Linked DNA regions of Drosophila melanogaster. The protein of the gene in region 2 interacts with the protein of the main gene of each other region in a pairwise test. Each region holds a gene or a part of one and is shown on either strand. Other genes may lie near its edges.

Region 1 (10,067 bases), on a different chromosome or scaffold from region 2:
TCTAGCTCAAAACCAGCCGTAACTGCTCCGGTTGCCAGTGGATCCTCGAGTTCTGGGTCCCTAGATACCAATCCCAGTGGATCGTCAGCCTCCGGGCCAGCTGCTTCCCAAGACACCTCAAATCTGGCCAAAAAACAGAAGCTAAATGCCAAGAACATCAGAGATTATATTCCTGTGGTAATCGAAAAGGGAGGAATGGCCAAAAAGCTGGAGCGGGCAGCTCCCTATAACATGTTCCTCACCGCGATCACGGACTCCAAGCCCACCCACTCGGAGCCATTGAGCATAACGCTGCAGGAAATCCTGGACGAAAGTCTCGGCGAGATTGAGAGCACCGTCCAAATTAACTTTATGGTGGACATTGGCTGGCTCCTGGGACACTACTACTTTGCCGGGATACTGTAAGTAATAACTAATTAACTAAACTCCTTATTCGTGCAATGCAATTGCTTAACTTGCAGGGACAAGCCACTTTTGCTGCTCTACGGCGACGAATCGCCGGAGCTGCTTAGCATTGGGAAGTTCAAGCAGCAGGTCACGGCCATTCGTGTCAAGATGCCCACGCCGTTTGCCACCTCGCACACCAAGATGATGTTCCTCGGCTACAGCGATGGCTCCATGCGGGTGGTCATATCCACGGCGAATCTGTACGAGGACGACTGGCACAATCGCACGCAGGGCCTGTGGATCAGTCCCAAGCTGCCTGCTCTGCCGGTCGATGCGGATACGGGCGCTGGCGAAAGTCTGACGGGCTTCAAACAGGATCTGATGCTGTACTTGGTGGAGTACAAGATAAGCCAGCTGCAGCCTTGGATAGCAAGGATTCGGAACAGTGATTTCAGTGCCATCAAGTAGGACACAACCTAAGTATTGTAGATTTAATCTATCAATTGTTTCCCTCCGCAGCGTTTTCTTCTTGGGCTCTGTGCCCGGAGGTCATCGCGAGGGCAGCGTGCGTGGTCATCCATGGGGCCACGCCCGCTTGGCCTCCTTGCTCGCCAAACACGCGGCGCCCATCGACGATCGCATACCGGTCGTCTGCCAGAGCTCGAGCATCGGCAGCCTGGGAGCCAACGTGCAGGCCTGGATTCAGCAGGATTTCGTCAATAGCCTGAAGAAGGATTCCACGCCTGTGGGCAAGCTGCGCCAGATGCCGCCCTTCAAGATGATCTATCCCAGCTACGGCAACGTCGCGGGCAGTCATGATGGAATGCTGGGCGGCGGGTGTTTGCCCTACGGCAAGAACACCAACGATAAGCAGCCATGGCTCAAGGACTATCTGCAGCAATGGAAGTCCAGCGATCGCTTTCGCTCGCGGGCAATGCCGCACATCAAGAGCTATACGCGCTTCAATCTGGAGGATCAGTCGGTGTACTGGTTCGTTTTAACCTCGGCGAATCTCTCGAAGGCAGCCTGGGGCTGCTTTAACAAAAACTCGAATATCCAACCCTGCCTGAGGATCGCCAACTATGAGGCTGGCGTCCTATTCCTGCCCAGATTTGTGGTAGGTCTTGTGAGATTTTTGAATCAAAGTCCATTGCAACTGGTGCTCTTTGCTTTCCAGACTGGCGAGGACACCTTTCCTTTGGGTAACAATCGTGATGGAGTGCCAGCGTTTCCGCTACCATACGACGTTCCATTGACGCCCTATGCTCCAGATGATAAGCCCTTCCTGATGGATTACCTACAAGGTTGAGATTAAGATACGTCTTATAAGGCCTCACAAATGGCTTTTGAATTCGTTGAAATATCTGGTCTATGGCAACTATTCACGTTTGAATCAGTTACTTTTATTTATTTACTGCACATTAAATTAAGGAAATTTAATTTGCGATCCTATTTTTGGATTCAGGCATCTTTTTTTTTCGGTAAATGTCCAATTCTGCCCATACTTCTTGGATCGGAGTGCTAATTCTGTTTGCACCGCAGGTAAAACCATCAAGTTCACTCAGTTTTCAGTACCATAATTTATTGTCCTTACTTATATTACTAAAACTAAATCAAAAGATTTAATGTTATATATTCATTGCATTAAAATTGTAATAACAACCAATACTTTGTTTTGGACAGCATTTTAAATGCGTACATTTTGGCGGCAAAGCATAAAATACTATAAGTGTGCAACCGATAGTTGCGCAGCTCCGCCCACGCAGTTGGTATTTTCGCATGGCCTCGCCCGCGGTCACACCACATCTGGCAGATTTCGTCAATAGCCTGAAGAAGGATTCCACGCCTGTGGGCAAGCTGCGCCAGATGCCGCCCTTCAAGATGATCTATCCCAGCTACGGCAACGTCGCGGGCAGTCATGATGGAATGCTGGGCGGCGGGTGTTTGCCCTACGGCAAGAACACCAACGATAAGCAGCCATGGCTCAAGGACTATCTGCAGCAATGGAAGTCCAGCGATCGCTTTCGCTCGCGGGCAATGCCGCACATCAAGAGCTATACGCGCTTCAATCTGGAGGATCAGTCGGTGTACTGGTTCGTTTTAACCTCGGCGAATCTCTCGAAGGCAGCCTGGGGCTGCTTTAACAAAAACTCGAATATCCAACCCTGCCTGAGGATCGCCAACTATGAGGCTGGCGTCCTATTCCTGCCCAGATTTGTGGTAGGTCTTGTGAGATTTTTGAATCAAAGTCCATTGCAACTGGTGCTCTTTGCTTTCCAGACTGGCGAGGACACCTTTCCTTTGGGTAACAATCGTGATGGAGTGCCAGCGTTTCCGCTACCATACGACGTTCCATTGACGCCCTATGCTCCAGATGATAAGCCCTTCCTGATGGATTACCTACAAGGTTGAGATTAAGATACGTCTTATAAGGCCTCACAAATGGCTTTTGAATTCGTTGAAATATCTGGTCTATGGCAACTATTCACGTTTGAATCAGTTACTTTTATTTATTTACTGCACATTAAATTAAGGAAATTTAATTTGCGATCCTATTTTTGGATTCAGGCATCTTTTTTTTTCGGTAAATGTCCAATTCTGCCCATACTTCTTGGATCGGAGTGCTAATTCTGTTTGCACCGCAGGTAAAACCATCAAGTTCACTCAGTTTTCAGTACCATAATTTATTGTCCTTACTTATATTACTAAAACTAAATCAAAAGATTTAATGTTATATATTCATTGCATTAAAATTGTAATAACAACCAATACTTTGTTTTGGACAGCATTTTAAATGCGTACATTTTGGCGGCAAAGCATAAAATACTATAAGTGTGCAACCGATAGTTGCGCAGCTCCGCCCACGCAGTTGGTATTTTCGCATGGCCTCGCCCGCGGTCACACCACATCTGGCAGTTGAAAAAAATCGCAGCAGGCGAATTTTCGGAAATTTCGAGCAGCATTTAAATCCGGTTCTCGTGGAAAGTGTTAACTTATTTACGCCAGCCAAAAAACGTAGCAAACGCACATAGAAAGGACGAAAGCAACGCAGATTGCCCTGGGAAACACGAAGAGAAGCCGCAAGGAGGCGCGCCAAATAGCAGGATAAGTGGAGTTCGATTGGATGACAAGGCGGGTCACTTCCTCGGATCCTGGCTAAAAACTCGCAGCACCCAGCGCCACCATGTCCACCGCCTTCCTTACCCTCATCGCCGTCATCGTGTGCATCCTGTTCCGCATCCTTAATGTTCACAGCCAGCCGCTGAAGCCCAGTGTGTGGTGCCTTGATGCCCACTTCCTCGACTGCCTCTACAAGATCGCGCCCGTCCTAAGGGAACCGTAAGTAATCCGGGAACAAGTGTCATTAAATCATGTGCTAATCATCATTTGCTCTTTTTTTTCCTCATTTTCATAACACATTCAGGGTCACAGGTGTGGCCAAAATTATAGCAACCTTCAGTTCTTGTAGGGTTATATTGTTTCGAAATCGATATAAGAGTACAAAACTGAACTATGGATTCCTGTTTTAATGGAATAAACTTAATATACTCACGTTTCAAGGAGCTTAATAAAGTTTGTAGAAGATTGTATTGCCATCGCAGCTGAGTTGCTAACAATGTCATCAGCATCACAGTCGCGCCAAAATATTAGTTACCTCAGGTTTCATAATTGTGCCAGTCGGTTTCGCTGATAAGCAAATCAGCAATCACCTCAAATTACTTTAAACCGCCAATTAAGTAGCATGTTCAAACTGAAAGCCATTGTTTCACGCAGTCCGTCGAATTTCCCAGCTGGCGAATGAATCATGAATGGCAAATTAGTCAATAAAACTGATGTCGCTGTCTAAGCAATTCAGTAACTCATCAGTAACTATCTATGTATGTCTACGAAATGCAGCTACAAACCCATTGATTAAATGCAATTCCAACACTTTGATGCGCACTATCAGTCAATAAATAGGTTGGTGTGTTCAATATATGCACCCCTCTATAAAATAGAGAGCACTCCTTCCTGTCTGAGGTTTCGTTATCGGTGATATAGTAAGTCTTACTCATTATACATGTACATCTGCGGTCACGGGCTAAAAATATTTCAATAGGTTATCTTGGGTGTAGAAATTGTTTTAAATTGGGAATTGTATTTGCCAGTTTAGCGGAGGTTATCAGCAGCGAACCGATAGAGAAATCAAGTTTAATGGCACAAATATTCATTAACTTTTATCACTTCCTTGATAAACATTTCTTCTCGCTGCCTGGAAAATTTTCATTCGATTTTCATTATTTTGTGTAAATCTGTGAATGCCCGCTGGGTTTCTCCTTCGTTGACCAGGAGCCGCATAAATAAATAGAATTTTTCTTTCGTTTTTAATTTACTTTTTTTTTTTGAAACACGTCTGCCAGCAGTCGCGATAAGGATTAATAACAATATAGCTCAAAGTTCGCCCCGCAATTACGCAGTTGAGACAGCGACTAACGCCTAGCAACCCGATTTTGGCCACAAATTTCCCCTGCCACTCGATAATCGCGTGGGGGTTTCCTCATACATATATTGTATGGAAATGTAGGTTGATAATGAAAAGATTGCCGGCGAATTGTTGGCGCAGTTTATTTCTTTTTGGCACTTTGGCTGATTCAAATGCCGGCACACTACCTGTGAATGTTTTGGCTTTCTGCCCAGTCAATCTGCCGCTTTTGTTTGACAACAAAGATTGCGTAAGCAGAGTTCTCTCGACTGCTGCGCTGCTGCTTTCTACCCCCGCTCACCTGTGTTTTCTCACCTGACAAACCGGTTGAAAGGTGAGATATACTCGGCTAAAAAGCCGGAGGGCCTGTTAATTTCCGTCATCTTCCTGTGCATTTGTTCTACCCACGAAAAGACCAGAAATGCTATTGAAATTTTAACAATAGAGCTCGTTTTCTAGTGTAGTTAATTTTTTCGGATTTTATTTTCAATAGGCGGTGCATTTATATAGTTGTAAACTCTTACTTGAAGTTACTTTTCCTCATTTTATAAAAAAGGGCATTTAAGCTAAGTAAATAGTTACGTAGAAAATTTGCAAAATGGGCTCATAAACAGTGGGATTATAGTGGGCTATTATTCATTCTTATATCAGAACACAAACATAGTAAGTTTATGTTGGGCAAAGATCAAGTGTCAAAAGGTTCCACAGGCTTCTAATTTCCGTGAAGACGATTGTTTTAGAGGTGCGCCGTTGATAGAAACCCAGGGTGATGACTCATTAGCACCGTGTGCTGCTCGTTTTTAGCTGACAACTTGAAGGTGGGAAAGAATTGCAGCTGTTTTTGCCTTTAGGCTTGCGAACTCTAAACGACACATTAACTTTTAATGATATATTTCTACATATATATATGCATGCGAGGGCACATTATTCACTAAGTGTCATTCATATTGATTACTGTTGGGAAATTCATGCTTGAAACTGATTAAAAATTGAAAAGCCAGATACGCCGGCATTTGTGCCTGTTCCCAAAGTGGCCACGCCCCTGCCCACAAACCATTTCACCATTTTACTTTGATTGATACTAATTGAATGGCTACTGTTGCTGAGCTCACAAGTGGATACACAAAATTGTATCACGTTTTTGCACGGCTGACATGATTTCTGATACACGCAGGAAAAAAATGCATTGTAAAATGCTTAAATCAACTCAATCAAATAGGGCTTGATTTGGAAACAGAAGGCTTTGCAGAAAAGGAAGAATATACCCCCATTTACCCTGTTGATTCTAAATTCTAAAAATATACCTTTCAATTGAAAATACCTTTGGCAGAGAACATCCGACTTTCTCCATCCAATTCTGGTGTAGCTGCGTGCACTCAATTAGGTTCAATTGGTTCTAATGCTGTTTGCTGAATTGCGGCTTTGTGCATTTGGTGGCATTCTCTTTCGAATTTGTAAGTCATCGCATTAAAAAACTTGGACGTAGATCAAAATTCAATTTGTATAAATAATACGAGTATTTGCGCAAATTTGGCAAATTGCCTGCTAACTAAACTGGAAGCAATTGTGCGCAGATTTATCATTGCCATAATTCACAGTGCAATGTCAAGGGCAAACAAGATCGGAATAAAATGAAATATATTCATATAGCTTGCCAACGGAAAAGAAGTAGCTTAATCAACATTTATAATAGGTTTACGACCCATGCAATAATTGCTGATTAAAGAATCTAAAGTACGTTATAATAATCCCATTCTTTTCACTCTTTCCAGATACATTCCCCCGCGACTTTGGGGCTTTAGTGGCCATGTGCAGACGGTCTTGCACAGCATTGTTGGCCGGGTACGATGTCCCTGGCCACTCGGAGAACGTGTTTACATGTCGCTAAAGGATGGCTCCACATTGACCTACGACTTGTACCAGCCACTCAACGAACAGGAGGGTAAGAGTTAGGCAGCCTAATCCCGATGCATTGCCTGTACTAAATGTATTCAACACTCCCACAGATGACATCACGGTGGCCATTTGCCCGGGCATCGCCAACAGCTCGGAATCGGTGTACATTCGCACCTTCGTGCACTTGGCCCAGTGCAATGGATACCGCTGTGCGGTGCTAAATCACATTGGCGCACTGCGCAGTGTCCAGGTGACCTCCACACGCATTTTCACCTACGGCCACACGGAGGATTTCGCGGCCATGGTAGAGCATTTGCACCAGAAGTACCGCCAAAGTCGAATTGTCGCGGTTGGTTTCAGTCTGGGCGGCAATCTGGTCACCAAGTACATGGGCGAGGACCAGAAGACAAAGCCAGACAAGGTCATTGGAGGCATATCCATATGTCAAGGCTACAATGCCGTCGAGTGAGTTGCTATTCAAACTATTAATATAGGAAATCAGAGCTAAATACTTAATAATTATATTGCAGAGGCACCAAGTGGCTGCTCAACTGGCAGAATTTCCGCCGCTTTTACCTATACATCATGACTGAGAACGTAAAGAGCATTATCCTGCGACATCGACATATCCTCCTGTCCGACGAGGTCAAGGCTCGGCATAATCTCAACGAGCGCGAAATCATCGCGGCTGCCACTCTGCCCGAGTTGGATGAGGCTTACACGCGGAGAGTGTACAACTTTCCCTCCACCCAGGAGTTGTACAAGTGGAGCTCGTCGCTGTTTTACTTCGATACGATCAAGAAGCCAATGATCTTCATCAACGCCAAGGATGATCCCTTGATCCCGGAGGATTTGCTGCATCCCATCAAGGAGTATGCCAGTAAGTAGAAAGTTCTTTGCTTGCTATCACGTTGCTTATTGCTTAATCTTTCTCCCCTCAGCGACGCGTCAAAACACCGCCTATGTGGAGGTGGCCCATGGCGGTCATCTGGGCTTCTATGAGGGCGGCTTCCTGTACCCGAACCCTGTCACTTGGCTGGACCGTACGCTTGTGGCGATGGTTGGGTCCTTGGTCATGATGCACGAAGTCGGCAAGGTGGCCCCTTAGGCCTGGTTGCTATTTTCACACGCATACACGACTATTTAACGCTTCTGTGTCAAAATTGGTTGTCGCTGTCGAATATAAATCTTTGAAGAACCATCGGAACGGAAGAGAGCCCGAAAGACCCCATACATATAGTTCTAACATATGATATCGTTGTGCAGCAATTATAAATTATCAGCCGCGCAAGCATAAATTGATGTATACTTTTGCAAAGTGCATTTAAAACAGAAATTGTAGTTTTTTGAGAACGATTTTTATGCTTTTTAATGACTTTTTGAAGAGCCAAACATACAATGTATCAGTTGAACTCGTACCTTAGTTAGTTAACGCGACCACATGTATCCATGTACTTATGTCTAAGCAAATTCCTATTTATTAGCATTTTCCTTTGTGATCTAACAGTTTTTAATTACGTACATTTTTATATGTGAAATGTACACCACACGCCGCACACAATATACGATGTATGACAGTAATTATAAATTATAAGTCCTCGACCGCACCACAAGCATATAAAATAGCAAGAATATTGCCTTAGTGTAGACCTCGTTTTGTATGTGTGAATATGATTTGAACTATTCATTTTGTACTATGATGCATTTCACGGAAATCAAAGAGAAACCAAATGAAAGTTTGCCCAACGTCGGCTTCATTTTTGTATACTTTTTCTGAACTTTACCAAGTTGATAGTCAGATTTGTTTACCAATGTAGTGGAGTGGAGAATATTTATAAATGTATTTGTAAATGTATTTATAAATGTATATTGAAACAAATAAATAACAGTTGGACAAAAATATTCCCTTTATTTCACTTTTGATTTTTCCATATTTCAAATTTCGCTGTTAAATCGGTTACAGTTTCTCTACACCTAAGCTAACACTGGATTTGACATCACTAGTTGCAAGAAATGTACACCACACGCCGCACACAATATACGATGTATGACAGTAATTATAAATTATAAGTCCTCGACCGCACCACAAGCATATAAAATAGCAAGAATATTGCCTTAGTGTAGACCTCGTTTTGTATGTGTGAATATGATTTGAACTATTCATTTTGTACTATGATGCATTTCACGGAAATCAAAGAGAAACCAAATGAAAGTTTGCCCAACGTCGGCTTCATTTTTGTATACTTTTTCTGAACTTTACCAAGTTGATAGTCAGATTTGTTTACCAATGTAGTGGAGTGGAGAATATTTATAAATGTATTTGTAAATGTATTTATAAATGTATAATGAAACAAATAAATAACAGTTGGACAAAAATATTCCCTTTATTTCACTTTTGATTTTTCCATATTTCAAATTTCGCTGTTAAATCGGTTACAGTTTCTCTACACCTAAGCTAACACTGGATTTGACATCACTAGTTGCAAGAGCAGTCGTGGCCGAGCGGTTAAGGCGTCTGACTAGAAATCAGATTCCCTCTGGGAGCGTAGGTTCGAATCCTACCGACTGCGATGACAAGAGTTACTTTTTTGTTTTTAACTTTTTGCCCAAAAGAACAATTTTAAGGTTATTAATTTGATCCTTTTTCATAATGTTTCAAAGAATGTTGTGCTAGATTTGTGTGTTTGCTTTCATATAAATATTCTATTGGAATATTAAGATTTTTTAAATATATCCCAGATGGTATTCATTTTTATTGAGCGTTTTATACTTATACCTAAAAAAAATAATTAATTTTTAAATGTTTAAACTAAATGAAGCTTAAGATATAGCCGCGTTCTCGACCTTGTCCGTATGGCAAAGCTTTACATGCCTACGCAGACCTTTTGGTTGGCGGAAACGCCGCTCGCATTGGGAACACTTGAATCGCTTTTCTGCGGTGTGGCTCATCATGTGCTTCCGAGCATCTGACCGCTCCCGGAAGAACTTATCGCACATATCGCACTTGTACGGTCTTTCTCCTGTGTGAATTCGAATGTGCTGCCTTAGAGCAGATCCATCCGAGAAGGCCGACTGGCAGGTAAGGCACTTGAATGGTCTTTCTCCCGTGTGAGTCCTTAGATGTCTTTTGACGGAAGCAAGATCCGCAAATGGCTTTTGGCAAATTTCGCAGGCGAAGGGTTTTTCCCCCGTGTGGGTCTTTTGGTGGCGGACACAGCTTGCTTTGCTGCAGAAGGTCTTGTTACAAAGGCGGCAGGTGTGCGTAGAATTCCTTGAAAGCTGTCTGGCTTTCGTCCTCAACTCTTCTTTGACCGCGTGCTCG
Region 2 (7,372 bases):
GTTTGGGGCGTGAGTCAGATCCAAAAAGCAAATAAAACACACTCGTCAAAATAACAACAAAAATTTATGTCAGCAGTGCCAAAAGCGTTGAACGAATGAAGACGATAAAAAAGGCGGCAAATAAACAGAAGGCATACTATGCTTAAATACATATATAAATGTACAGTGTGTTTCGGCAGTTTAGAAATATCAATTGATTTTAGTTCAAAGAGCAGACAAGAAATTAATTAAAACTATTTTGAGAGCCAAACATAATCATTCAAGCGGAATATGTTTAAGTATTTCGAACTTTTAGGTAATTTACAACCAGTATAATAAATTTAGAAAAAGAAAACTTTTTTAGTTTTTAAATATTTTAGCTCGCTGTACTCCAACTGCAGTGCTTTACAGCTGTGAAACGCACAGTAAATACGCAGATATTTCCACACAGACAGCCATTCAAATGTAATCGCAGGCTGTGCATTTCAAGTGAACGGGCGAGCGCCCAACAGGTAGCCAACTGATGATTGCGAGCAGAACGCCACGTCCAAAACCCCAAGCAAACTTAGCTGCACACTCGCAATAATAAAAACAATATATACAAATAAAAACAAAAAAAAAAAAAAAAAAAAAACAGCAACCGCAACCTCAAAAAGCGGCTATTGCTTTTGTTAGTGTTGCTTGAGGTAAGGCAGGAACCTAATTAGATCTCTCGCAATATCTCTGACAGACACAAAGTGTATGCAGGTAAATTTCAGAAATATTTTAAGCTACTTAACATTTTTTTCAGTTTGTAACAAACACATCAAAAGTCAACATATTGTATATGTGTTCTCAGAATGATTAAAGTAAAATTATAATAAAATGGCAATTTGATAGGCGAATGTTTTCGAATTCCACGCATGGATCAAATAAAGTTAAGTACATACGTATTAAAATCAAAGATGACATTGATTTAAGCAGTTCGTAATACGTTCGAATTTGGGATTTCATCAAAAGCAAACTCATGAAAGCCAAGGGAAATAGGTTAAAAGAATCAACGAAATGACATATAAAATTCCAGTCGTGGCAGTACGGATAATAAATTTGGCACCCTCTGGGAAAAGGGCAAAACATAAAAAATGTTGGAGTTGCCCAAATAACCCCATGTGAATGTGGGGTTGGGGTTTGGATTTGGCCCGCATGTCAAGCTAACGAAAACAAAAACACAGCCCAGCGACGACAGCAATTGAAAAGAGAAAGTTGCAAAAAGAGAAAAAAAAAAACAAAAACTTCTAGCAAGTTGAAAAGTTGAAAGCCGTTAGCGGTCGGTCCAAGTTAGCGCAGTCGAATACGGTCAGTATTCGTAAATAGTGAACGCCACTCGGGTTCCCAGGTCCCAAATCTCAAATCCCAAATCCAGTCCGACACCCTCCCACTAAGCTGATAAGCCAACGAGGTGGGTTTGAAATCTGTATTTTGTTTTGCGTATTTTTTCAGCTCTTTGGATTTTGTAGTCTGGTGGAACGAGTTTTACAAATTGTCAACGCTTTGCTTTTAGCAAATACAATTTGTAGACAGGCAAACTAGTTTGCAGTTATGCCGAGACGAAACCAAAACAAGAATATAAGCTTTTGGGCGAGTTTTCCGACAGTGCGATACCTCCTGGTACCTGGTAATCAATAATCTGATTGGTCTAGATAAGACCACCGACTTCTTGGATATTTTCCAAATGAAGAGAGAAATCAAGATCTTGCATCTTATTATACAGACCATTTGCTATCACATTTCAAGTTTAATTGCAATAATTAAATGTAATTTAAATTGTAGTAGCAATTATAAACAAATTGATTAAGCAATATGGTAAAAAAAAACGTATATTAAAGTAATCCAAACATACGCTGTACATAATAAGTGTACTCTGGCCATCTAGCGGTACCTTGCAATCCGCAAATACCGCACCAGTATCTGAATCTGTGTATCTGTGCAACATAATTTTGTCATTACGAGGCGACACACACCCTCTTGGCCGGCCTGCATATGGGCAACAGATGTTGGGCAAATACAGAAACGAGAGCTCCGATATGCCAGATACAAGATACAAGATGCGACCAGGTAGTGCCACGCCCCTGCCCCTATACCGCCCCTATCCCGCCCCGAAAGTTGACTTTTGTTGGCTTGCCTTTAAGAGTTTTTGCTTCGTTGCCGTATATTTATTCATATTTTCTTTTTTTTTGATTTTTTTGGTTTTCGAGGCAAAGCGTGGGCAGTTGAGGTACATTTTTCCTCTTTCAGATAAGTTTGCTACACGTTCAGTGCACAGAGCAAAGCAGATCATTAAATGGATCCAATAATATTCCAGATTCGAAAATTTTAAAACTTTTAGCATATGTATAAATTCATACATGCTTGTGAATAAAATGATCTCTTATCACATAATACCACACCACATTAATGTTTCTATCTTTGTTGGGGGTTCCCCCCCTGGGGTTTCGCATCTCCTTCTGCGTCTCTCAAAATCCAAGCCTCCCTCCTTTTTGGTTTACGAATGGCCGAGTCAACAAAGAATTCATAATGAGAACAACAAAGGCTGCACTGGCAGTCAAGTGTGGAGCCAAGAATACAAAAGGAGAGAGCCCGGAGAGAGGTGTAAGTAGTGTGCGCTCCGCGAAGAGGCGCACAAAAAGGAAGTAACTAAAAATAACAAACATCTCGTTTCGGTTTGTAAGGTGGAATGAACTCAGAACCCGCGATGGAGAAGATGCCGAAAAGGAGACGCCGAGGAGACAAACCAGACACCCAGAGATCCATGCCCCAAAACTGATTGAACTACAGTGATCACTTGGTTAGAGGCACCCTAATCATTAACACGCCTGGCACACACGATTGAAAATGAAGTCACCACTTTAAAATAACATATATACTCATTTAAACTCTCCCATTTACCCAAATGTGTTCTAAATACCTACAGTCTCTGTAATACATGTTTACAATAAATCCCGCCAGATTCTCGGAATTAAAGTGCTTTGCAAATATTTTTTGAACAATTAAAAAAGATATAAACCAAACTGTAATGGCATCGATTTGTATACTACAATAGTTTAATGTTCTTTTCATGAATTTTTGGAATACAAACACAAAGTTCTAATACATTCTAGAGTTAAATATCTGAACATTATAACAAGAATATCCAAATTTCTTCTTTCACCACATTTCATCACATTTATTATATATAACAATTTCCTAATGGTACTGTAAAGTGTTTGATGAATAAAAGGATATTATCACAATAACAAACAGTAACTGGGTTTATCGTTTGATTCAGAAAAGGCTAGCTAGTGATCGTTATCCTTCCGCTGAGTCTTGGATCCGGGATTAGGATGATGCTGTGACTTGGAGGGATCTCACTCGGTTTGAGTTTTAGCGACTTACCTTCGTCCAGCAGGCGTTCGACGTGGGTGAAGACGTTGGGGAAGGCGGCCAGTTGCTTGCGGTCCTTGAGCAACTGGGCCAGATAGTCGGCGATGCTCTGTGTGCTCTGCTGCTGCTGCTGTGGGGTCAAGTGCTGCGGGGTCATGGGGACCACCACCTGCGGCGCCTGTTGCTGCTGCTGTGCCTGAGCCTGAGCCTGGGCTTGGGCTTGAGCCTGCTGCTGTTGCGCGACCGCAACAACTGCTGCGGCTGCCTGTTGCTGCAAGTGCTGCTGCAGTTGCTGTTGCACAACGGCTTTGCTCTCACAGACACTCATTTTGTTGCGTGCGTGTGTGATGTGTGGGTTTTTGGGAACTTTTTGTTTTGTTCTCGACGAGATTCTGGTTTTCAACTTTCAACTTTCCTTGGGTCTCTGCTTTCTTTACTTGGTGCACACTTCTTTTTTATTTGTTTTTGCTACTTTTAACACGTTACTGTGGGAGTTGGGAAATTCATTAAGTTTCGTACGCGAGCGATATTAAAAACGGAAAACGAAATGAAAACAACTCCGCCCAAAAGTATTTTTTCCGATCGGCAGCAACAACAATGCAGGGCGAGAGATACTGAGAGAGCGAGAGAGCGCAGCAAGTCGAAAGCGAAGGCAGAAAATTCCTCGGCGATCGCTCACTCACACACGGACAATAAACAGTAAAACTGTATATGCGACGGAGATGAATGAAAGCAGAATGTCAAAATAGCTGCCTCTCTCTCTCACCCTCGCTCATTTGGCTGCTGCAACAGCAAGTACAACAAAAAAGTATTTAAATAAATTTTATATTCAAATTTCTACGTTTTGAAGATACAAAGGTATAAATTCCTTTGCCTGGAGATGTACCGAGTGCACAAGGCCACTTAACCGATTTAAAAATGCAAGAAAACTCGCAGAAATATGCACAGTTGCTGATTATGTATTTGTTGTTGCTACTGGATGGCTTTGGATTTTATTCATTTCGTTTTGTTTGGAAAGTATTTTTTTTAAACACACTTTTCTTCTCTGAGGACTCCTATCCTTTGTTTATTTGATATATGTGTATATGGATTTTATTCGAGTCGGGGAATAGCGAACGGATCTCGGGACTTTACTGAACGATTCCTCCTAATTTTCCTACCACTGAACCGTGCGCAAAGAAAGAGAAAAAGAAACTGAATGCGAAGCGAAGAGCACAAAACGTTGTAAGTGTGAGATCATGCCAGTTCGATCGTGGGGTGGTGGTTTCAATGTGCTCTCGTTTCTCTGCTCTCTCGCCCAGTGACGTCACAAAGTGCGATTGCTTTTAATAAATATTTAAAAGCCAATATTTGGTTATATATTTGGGGGTATTTTTGATCTAAATTAACTAATTTCTAATATATCAGTGCTTTTAACTACTCGGTGACGTTTAGTCAATATTTGCATAACCATTTCCATAAAAAATACGCCAATACCCATCTTGTGACGTCAGTTTCTCTCTGACTTGGCTCTCTCGCACCCTACTGCCAGCATGCGAGATCACCCATCAGCGTTGCCACTCCGCACAAACAGAGTTGCGCAGCTGGTTAACATATTACACATATTTTAGCCAAAAGTGCGAGTATAAAAGTTAATAAATGGCCAAATAAGTTAATAGCAACTAAATACAAAGGTGGGCCATTAATATTCTTCCAAATGGAGGCTAGTTAATGCATTAATTGACTAACAACATTCAGCGTTGCCACCTGGTAGCTGGGTGGGCCACAATTTGGCGCGTTGGCGTTGATTTTGAATTAATTAAGACACTGCGCTGTGGAGGCATTAATTGCGCACGGAAATTGCTGGCAGATTAGAACCAAGCGGCATTTTGTTTCGCCGGACATATGCGGGGGCTGGCATCTGGGCCCCAAGTCCAAAACACCATGCAAATGAGCCCCCGAACTCGTACTGGCCAAATGTTGGTGTTAACTTGGTTAACTCTGCTGCAAAACGCGAAATGTATGTGGGAAAATTGGCATTCGCGAGCGTTTCGATGGACGCACCATATAAGCGACCCTAGGCCGGCGACAACTTTTACTTTCCATCGCGAAAGACATTTTTCGCTGGCTTCCGTGTGGTTGGCGAATTTCACAAAAATTCAACGCAGTATTAAGATATTGCGTACTAAAAATAATTAATTATCGATAAAGTGTATCAAAATAAAACAATCTTTTAAGTCTACAAAGCTACTTTTATTCTAAAATTTTACTCGTGTTCTGTTCACATTTAGGTCCTTCCACTATTACAACACTTAATGCCAGTGGATCGGTGAACTTATTGTGTGTTGCCTGTGTCTTCAACAATATTTTGATATACATATATGTATGAGGATCACTTCATTGCAACAGTCTTCCCCATCGGAACCCAAAATTTCTGGGGCGGCACATCTAGCCAACGGCAGGCATGGGGCAAGATCCGATTTTTGAAACCAGCATACACCAAAATGAGACGTGAAAGTTTAAAGTTGTGGCCAAAGTTGTGGATGGACATCGGATTGGTCGTTCCATTGGAAAGCAGACTCCCACCACCGGACCTCACCTGGCCAAGTTTCACAGTCCGGCCACAAGTCCCACCAAATTTGTGTGCACTTGGCTCAAACCGATCGGAATTGGCCTGTGTGTGTGGGCCGACATTAAATGCGTTGTACGGCCCCATTATACAGTTTTAGTGCCATTGAAAAATGTGTCAATGTGCGTGGCGATTGAGACATTGTATGCCTATGGATGGATATCCGATTTAAATCTCTGGGCCACAGACCAAAGCCCTTTCCAATCCGCACACCCACGTCGCCCAGTATCGGCCCATTGGACATCTGGCCAAGTCCGAAGTGCCAAGTTTTCCGTGGGCCGTTAATCTCTCTAGTGCTTTTGGAATTTGCCCTTTTGAATGTGGTGTTTTACATTGTGAGTGGGTCGTTTTGGGCGGCACTTTCGGTTTTGGAAAACCGAAATGGCCGCAAAATAAAAGTTTTCCAGCAGCTGTAAAGTTAGGCGAGAAAATGCTTGAATTGGTTCAAGTTTTGTGTAAACTGAAAAGTTCAGAAATTTTGGTTATGCACCATTAGTTCAACAACCTAAATCTAAAGTCGGAAATATCCCACAAATCTTTCATTGCCTATTAACAGAGAGATATTGCTACCCAAATGCAATTCGATTGTTTGACCAATTCGGCTGCTAAAAAAGAAGTGGTTCCAAAGATTGACAACCTGCCAGGCGGCGCTAACACTATATTGCTGGTCCCGGGAATCCTTTTTTGGCCACTGCACGTTTGTGTCGAATGCAAATTTGGCCAAGACATTTAGCGGCTTTGTGGCGGCCTAAACGACAAATTAAACATTCTTTTTCTTAATTTACCGCCGACACAGAAACAAACCACCGGTGGTGTGAGAGTGTGTAATTAGCAATATGTTGGCCAAAAGCCAGGCAGCAATCGTCCATTAACCAGTTCCCAGTTGTTTCCATTACGCATGAGACGCGGCCGTGTGGGCGCCACCGGTTTACCAACAGTTGAGTTTGTCAGTTTTCGGGTGCCACAAAGAAACCGAACTGCAACACCCACACAGATAGTAAGTATCTGTCAGATACACTCGACCACATACGCAACCCGCTCAGGCAACAAAAGTGTCCAGAGTGGTTTGGTTTTGACCATGCTCACAATGAATACAATTTTGTTATAGTATCTACGGATTTTATGTGTATTCATAAGATGAGATTTTCCAATGCTTTTTCCAAACACATTTTTGTCACCTGTGCGAATGCATTTTCTGTGTCACGCGCCGCGACCCACAGGTGAAACTCCTTACCCGTGCCGCGTTCCCCTTCATCCGTTTTCCGAATCCATTCATAAAGTTTCCACTTTGCATATTGTGCCCGACCGACCAGCTGATTGGATCCAACAAAACGCAGTCTGGCCAAAACTAATTCAACCACGATCCGCAAAGTGCTCATGAATGAG

Evidence for each region.
Region 1: the proteins of how (region 2) and Hydr2 interact in a two-hybrid assay, tested with the Drosophila melanogaster proteins (one large-scale study listed by BioGRID).

What each region holds. Positions count from the first base shown.
Region 1 is NT_033779.5:3,160,349-3,170,415, forward strand, and holds Hydr2 (alpha/beta hydrolase2), read left to right. Parts: upstream 1-3,296; 5' UTR 3,297-3,571; coding exon 3,572-3,726; intron 3,727-6,179; exon of another isoform or gene 6,180-6,303; intron 6,304-6,621; coding exon 6,622-6,791; intron 6,792-6,855; coding exon 6,856-7,210; intron 7,211-7,275; coding exon 7,276-7,625; intron 7,626-7,686; coding exon 7,687-7,853; 3' UTR 7,854-9,114; downstream 9,115-10,067. Other genes in the region: gkt (glaikit), read left to right, coding at 1-401, 462-851, 907-1,504, 1,565-1,696; CG44002 (uncharacterized protein), read right to left, coding at 9,566-10,067.
Region 2 is NT_033777.3:22,039,398-22,046,769, reverse strand, and holds the start of how (held out wings), read right to left. Parts: upstream 4,580-7,372; 5' UTR 4,415-4,579; intron 3,864-4,414; 5' UTR 3,707-3,863; coding exon 3,391-3,706; intron 1-3,390. UniProt on the Drosophila melanogaster protein: RNA-binding protein involved in muscle development and dosage compensation. Vital role in steroid regulation of muscle development and to control heart rate.